2 linked regions of the Coturnix japonica genome follow. The main gene of each other region encodes a partner of the protein of the gene in region 2 in a complex. Links are inferred from orthologs where the notes say so. Each region holds a gene or a part of one and is shown on either strand. Other genes may lie near its edges.

Region 1 (3,659 bases), on a different chromosome or scaffold from region 2:
TTCAGATGATCTCTTCAGTGTTCTTTTTCCCCTTCATGCCTGTAAATGCACACAGCAATTTTTGGGAGTCTGCTTTTGGAGCTGTTTCAGCTCTAATGTTCCCAGATCTGACACAGCATTAGGAACCTGTACATTATGTGACTAGAAGTGATGCATGGTGTAACACATACCTGTGAACAGCCTCATACATTTCCATTTCTACTGCTAATGGCTGTAATTGAATAGAATATTTGTCTCTCTGCGAGTATCAGAGGTCAAGATGTTCTCAAAAGTCTTCTGTCAGATTTCTGCTGCAAGCTGAATAAAAGCAAGGCATAGCGAGTGCTGTTTGTTTGGATCAAACTTCATCTTGTCTGTCCCTCAGATGAGATCAGTCTTTGTTCTTCTGTCAATACCCTTTTTCACTGGGCCACATAAGGCAGTGCATGAGTGCTTGAGTTGTTCTGTTAACAGTGAAATTACTAATAATTCTAAACTTCTTTTGCAGCTAGAAAGAGTAAATCTATCTGCAGCTCAGACACTGAGAGCAGCTTTTATTAAGGTGAGACATAATTTGTATTGAAGGATGGTCAGTTAAACAATATATGTTGAAACTTAAATTCTTTATATTATTGTATTTGAAGAATGCATCCTTTATGATCAATAGTTTTCAATAAAACTGAGTGTACAATTGCATGGGCTGTAAGTTTGGAAGGTGTGCACATATTAGAAATCTGAATATACTTAAAAGTATATTAAACAATTTTAAACAATCCTACCTTGTGTACATGGTATGAAAGCGTAAAGGTGGCATAAATCAGTGAGGATGGAACAGGAAATAGAGGTAACAAATCCAGTGTTAATGGGACCAGATTATGTAGAATAGGTGTTCAGAAGTACTAGGAATGTATCAGGCTTGGAAAGATTAATAGTTAGGGAAATTTTTTTTGTGGATGAAATATAAGTTTGGTATTTGGTGTTTGTATTTACTTAAATCTAGCAGGAAACTGAAGAAATATTTCTTGTAACTTACTATGTACCATTCAGTAGCTATCTTTTAGACTTCTTTTAGCAGAAACAATAATAAGTATACATGCAAGGTACATCGAGCGTAGCAACCAAGCAGTGCTTTCCTGTTTCTCCTCTTAAAGTGTACCTGAGCAGACACAACTCTCAATTAGAACTCTTCCAAGTTAAATGTTCTATACAGATAGTCCTAAGGAGCTAAGCTGAATACAAATAGCATGGAAACTAACCCTATTGGAAATGGTAGTCCTAGCTCAGAACACACACACCCTCATTCTTGTTCAGCACAGCCTATTTTTGTGATAGCAACACAGGTACTGTGAATACTGCTAATGTTACATTGCAGGAGTACAACAGCATAGAGATGGTTCTGTCAATTTGAGTAAGAAATATTTTGTAATGAGGGGAAGGGCATATTGATAAAGTCATTCATATAAAACTGCTGATATAACCCAAGAAAAATATACTGGAAGAACAGCTGTCAGTGTAAAGTGCTTTTTTAAAGGCATTAGAATGGAAATTCTTCTAGCAAACACTGGTGTACAAAACAACTTGCATTAAAATCTGCTTTTGTGCTTGCAATATTATGATTGCATTTCTAGAGCATTTTTTAGAGTAATTTATCCTACAATGCAGGCTGAAAAAGAAAATCCAGGCCTCACACAGGACATTATTATGAAAATTCTGGAGAAAAAAAGTGTGGATGTGAATTTTACAGAGTCCCTCCTACGTATGGCAGCAGATGATGTAGAAGGTAATATCTTGCCTCATGTTGTGTAAGGGCGTTCTTCATCGTACTCTAAACAAGAGCATGCATTGCTCTGCCTATTTTTCAGAAGAGGTTTACTTTTACTAAGTAGATTCTTTTTCAACCATATTCAATAGAAGCAATAGCTCTTTCTCTGAGTACCTATTTTGGAGAGAATAAAGAAAAAGCCTACCACTGCAACTCCCCAGACATGTTCTTGACTAAGAGGAAGAAAATGCATCCTTTGAATGGTTTGTGTGGGAAGTTCACCTGTTGCAGTTTGTTTCAAATTGAAAGCATCAGTTACGATGACAGGAGAGCTTAAAGTTCTTTTAAAACTGTATTTCGTTATTGTAATGTTGTCAGTGTTCTTTGGAAATAAAATTGGGCTCTATTCTTTCCTCACTTTTCAGTAAGGAAAGTTATTGTTGGTCTGCTTCTGTTAGTATCTTGAGATCCATCATGGTTGCTAGTGCATTTTGTGAAGTAATGTTTTATTTAAGCTGTCACTGGAAACTTTTTGATGGAAAACTAATGGTATTTTTTTCACATATCCAACTTATTAGAATATATGATTGAAAGACCAGAGCCAGAATTCCAAGATCTGAATGAAAAGGCGCGAGCACTTAAACAGATTCTTAGTAAGATTCCAGATGAGATCAATGACAGAGTGAGGTTTCTTCAAACAATCAAGTAAGTACAGTATTTAATATTTTTATGGAGTTTTAGGGGCCTAACTTTATGTTTGGAGCTGAATGTTCAAATGCTGTGGGAGGCACTAGTAAAATTGTTCTCATTTGGAGAGTTTCTCATACACATAGAAATAAGAACAGAGCTGAACATTTAAGAGATCCTTGTGTTAGTAGATAGTAATTTGAATCAGTAATTAGCAGCTGAAGTTCCATGTCACTTTCCTAGCATTTGATTTCTGTGTCTTCTTTGAAATTCTTTCTGTGCTACTATTAAAAAAGGATTAAATTTCTATGTTTGAGTTGAATAGCTTATGCATATTACAATTCTTTTCATTTTCAAACAGGGACATCGCCAGTGCAATAAAGGAACTTCTTGACACAGTAAATAATGTCTTCAAGAAATACCAATACCAGAACCGGAGGGTATGTGAAATAACCTAATACAGTATTTCTCTAGTAGAAGAGGAAGCATATTGTTTTCTTTGTAGGATGAACAGAAGAGCATAACTGGTCAATGTCAGTGTTTTAACATGGCTGTTTGGTAATTCTCAGCAGTTCCGTAGGAAGATTGGTTTTAAAAAAACATACAGGGAAAGAACAACCCATTACCACAGTAAACCCATTCTTTTATCTACATAATCCTTGTGTGCTTTCTTTTATTTTTAATTGTGATGTACACAATAGCATCTCAACTTAGACTTCTTGGCTTTTTCTTTTCCGCAGGCACTTGAGCACCAAAAGAAAGAGTTTGTAAAATACTCCAAAAGTTTCAGCGATACTCTGAAAACCTATTTTAAAGATGGCAAGTAAGTGTCTTTTTATACTAAGCTTATACACAGTGAAAAGGTTTTGTTTACCTAATTGGTGTGACTAGAGGAAAATAAAGACAAAGCCATTTGACTGAAAAAGTGGGGCCAAGAATTGTATGTGTTGTGTGCTTACCCCATACATGCTGAAAAACAGACCAGCTTTGTTCAGCCCTATGTGAAGTGAATGCTGTGTGTTGTGGATATATGCTTTACAGTGCCTCAGGTATTATCAGTATTTCAGAAAATCCCAGGTAACATCTATGTTCCTTGTGGAACAGAAAATAATTTACATCTGTTTGAACAACACACTAGATAAGATAACCTGTTGACATGAGGAAGAAAGAGCACTAAATAACATGGTCACTCATAATGGTATCATTGAGTTGGAAAGCTCAGTGACCCCAT
Region 2 (3,659 bases):
TGGAAAAAAACACTGAGAAGAAAACAGAGCTACATCATGAAAGAAAAGAAGTGCTATGTATGTCTTCCTATACATCATACTGGTAAGACTGATTCAGAAACCAGAATTCTTTGCACTCAATATTTGAAAGGAAAGTGCAAATTCAAAATCAGAACCTTGGCTTCAGGGCCTAAGAGAATTCTCATACTGACAGACCTGCCTGCTTGGCTAAATAAAAAGACCAATACACTAGTCAAATGACATAGTCTTTAAAGGCAACTAAAATGCTTCTAAATCCCAGTAAATACTACCAAAAGTATGTAGTATTATGTATGTAGTACAACTTGCATGCCTTCACCTTCCAACTAGAAACAAAGATGAGCTTGGAAAAAAATTTAAAAGAAAGGGTTATTGACTTTTTGATGCTATTTCCAAGCAACAAACACTTTCTAATCCTTGGTACCTTCAAAATTAATTTTTACAAGGGCACCAAAGAAATTAATTTAAGCTGAACGCAAGTCTAAAGCTCCCTATCACAAAAACAGAACACAAATCAAAATTCAAAAGCCAATTTAATTCAAATACAAAAACATTCAGAATCCTGGTCTTATTCAAGCAATATATTCCTTTAATTGGATTTTTCTGGAATCAAAAGCAAAACATTTGGAAGTATAATTATATTTCTGTCAACTAAAATAACATAAAATATGGAAGCTTCAACATTCAATACATTTATAGCTAATAACCAGCATCACAACCATCCGCACACCCATGCAACTTGTGAAGGTACTGTACTGTCATGAACAAGTATTACTTCATTTCTAAATTGTTTTGTTAGCATCTTACCCCACTCTGTTCCATCTCCAGAACTTCGGGCTTCTCCAGCTCCCTCACCATCTTCAGCTGTCACTAAAAAATCAAATTCTTTCAAGGCTTCTTCAGTATCGGGATCATCAGTAAGGTCAGCAGCTAAACCTTCATTACCAATCTGCAATCAAATGAAGAACATTTCTGCATTTTAACCACCAACCTTTATCTACTCAAATGTTTAATTATAAATGATAGCGATTATGCTCATTGAAGACTTTGCTTTATTTTCAACATGAAACACATTCAAATCCACACAGAACTAGAGTTGTTTACAACAACTACAGAAGAAAAGAGAGCAGCACAGTAAAGTAATCATTAGAAAAGAATACTGACATGAGGTTTAGCAACAACTTGTACTAGATGTACAAGTTATTAACTACAGGTACAGTGCAAAAACCTTCCTAACAAGTCAAACTGGGACATTCAAACTTACACTAAGCTGAGATAATGTTGAATGACAGCTGAGTTACTTATGAAAATTCAAGGCAGCCGTAGGCACTTCCACACTACAGAATACTACAGAAAATTGGCGGTATAACTGCCCTAAATCAACCTCCTTGTGTGAAAAAAAAAAAAATCACAGTGAAAGAATTTTCTAGCATGGAATAAGAGAAAGGACATAATTTTAACTATCTAGGGAAAAAAGGGAAAGATATTTCCCTTTTAAGATAAGAGTTTGTGCATGCAAAACAATATCTTAAAATTGTTTTTTTACTTTGTGTTTCTTATTTATCCGGTGCTTCTCTTTTCCTTCTGCAATATCTTCTATCATGTCACTCTCCTCTTCTTCATCACTATCATCCGCATTTTCTAAGAAGTTAAATGTTTCAAGAACATCACCAGAGTTCCTACAAAAACAAAAAAATTAACAAGGAGAGAGTTTTACTTGCTCATGAGATTTTTGGGAGATTCATTAACATTAACACAATGGCTGTCTGACTCAACAGCTCAACAATTTTAAAAACTAGCAAAAACCAAGAAATGACTGTATGAAGTTTCTACAGCAGTCTAATTCTTCAAGTTACATCACTCAGCTGTAACTTTCCTTAAAATGTTAATTCCAAAGCTGCACTGAATCTGAATACATGTCATACAACCCTATCTTTCCCATGCAAGGCATACAATCAGTTTCAATGAAGTTCATAATCATTTGTAGTTAGCTACGCTCACAGTTCAGAGAATTGAGAGTCTGAAGTTCTTCGCGAACTTTGGTACATTAAAATGACTACATAGACAAACTTAAACTACACGCATTTCTCACCTCCTCACTTACCTTTTGATTTCCTGTCCCTTTTGTTTTGATGAAGGAGATTCGCCCCCATTGAGGATCTGCTCTAAATTCTTTGTCTCTACTGAACCATTTGGTTCTGAATTGGAGAGCCCAAGCAAAGACCTTACCCGCTGGGAGCGTACATCCAATATCGTATCTGTATAACCTACTTCCTGAAGATACCTAATATATATTAAAAGGAGAAAGAAGAAAGCACAGTTGATGGAAAAAGGAAATAAATCTGAACTGACACTTAGAAATTAATACTACTATAATATATTTTACAAAAGATAAGCTTTATCTCTGTCCATCTCACACAAAAAAGCTCCACGTACACTGTTTAAAGATCAAAACTACAAACTCCTGCATCATGGTCCACCGTGCGACCACCTCAACTACTCCAAATCAAAAAGTATGCACATACACAGCTCCTGAGACCTCAGGAAAAAGCATGAATACACCAACATTCCAACAATGCTACTTACTGTCTTAGTAACTGCCTGCCTTGCTTCCAGGTGAGTTGGCTATTTTGAGGTACTGCAGGAACCTCCGTATCTTTGGTTTCTTCTGAAAGACAGCACCATTTGCAGTTACTGGTTTTCAGAAGGTTTTTTTTGTGGTTTTGTTTAATTTTTAAAATTGACTTTTCACAATGCAACAATGAAATGAAAAGCAATTATTTACAAAAAGCAATCTTTAAGTTACTTGCAGTCTTATGCAGTAGTTTCTTTTAATTAAAGAAGGTTGTTTTTTTTCTTGTGGTAGCACCAAACAACAGTAAATCTGATACATATTGTACACTTAAACTTCCCTTCTAGATGGATGTCAAACTGACACGAAATGCTAAATCTTTTATAACAGCAATTTAAAAAGCAGTAAGAGAAGCAGCAGCTTAATAAGGAATTGTGCAACTATTCCAAACTTTCACTGATACTCACAGTTGTTTCAGAAGAGAAAGGTCAATTCATTATGATTTCGAATCAAAAATATTTACCTAATATCAAACTTTTCCTGGATTTTTTTTCCTCTATAATGTAATTGAGGGGGGAAGGAGAAAGTTACACTAAATTGAGCAAATCTAGAACAGGACAAAGAAATTGTTCTAGAACAGGTACTATCATAGAAGTTACCTGATTCAAAAGTTGGCATTTTCAAGTCACCTTGGTTCAATTCTGTGCCATACTTCAATTTATGATATTTTGCCCTGGAAAAAAAATGTGCAAAGATTTAACAAAAGCATCCTGTACTAATTTATCAGCTCAAATATTTTCCTACTCCTGTTTAAAACAACCATGTTAACATAACACCCCTTATCCAAATAAAATTTACAGTAATTACAGTATCATGCAATTAGTTCTAGTTTGTCAAGAACACAAGTTTGAGAAAGACAATTATAATAATCAAATGACACAAAAGTGAGAATTAAGTATGTTCTCCAATAATTTGTTCTGTATTTATTTATTTTTAATCATGAAAGCTAGGTTTAATTATCCATTATGGATAATGTCTTCACCTGTACTACTGTCGCAGCCTAAACAAC

What was found. Proteins that work in one complex are often made in the same cells at the same time.
Region 1: STRN3 (region 2) and PDCD10 share a complex: the UniProt entries of both Homo sapiens proteins name them as parts of the core of STRIPAK complex. The link is inferred for Coturnix japonica from reciprocal best matches to the Homo sapiens genes STRN3 and PDCD10.

Annotation. Positions count from the first base shown.
Region 1 is NC_029524.1:18,278,599-18,282,257, forward strand, and holds part of PDCD10 (programmed cell death protein 10), read left to right. Parts: intron 1-487; coding exon 488-541; intron 542-1,641; coding exon 1,642-1,759; intron 1,760-2,319; coding exon 2,320-2,446; intron 2,447-2,789; coding exon 2,790-2,868; intron 2,869-3,168; coding exon 3,169-3,251; intron 3,252-3,659. UniProt on the Homo sapiens protein: Promotes cell proliferation. Modulates apoptotic pathways. Increases mitogen-activated protein kinase activity and STK26 activity. Important for cell migration, and for normal structure and assembly of the Golgi complex.
Region 2 is NC_029520.1:30,872,726-30,876,384, reverse strand, and holds part of STRN3 (striatin-3), read right to left. Parts: intron 3,324-3,659; coding exon 3,250-3,323; intron 2,687-3,249; coding exon 2,605-2,686; intron 2,303-2,604; coding exon 2,123-2,302; intron 1,698-2,122; coding exon 1,565-1,697; intron 968-1,564; coding exon 826-967; intron 1-825. UniProt on the Homo sapiens protein: Calmodulin-binding scaffolding protein which is the center of the striatin-interacting phosphatase and kinase (STRIPAK) complexes.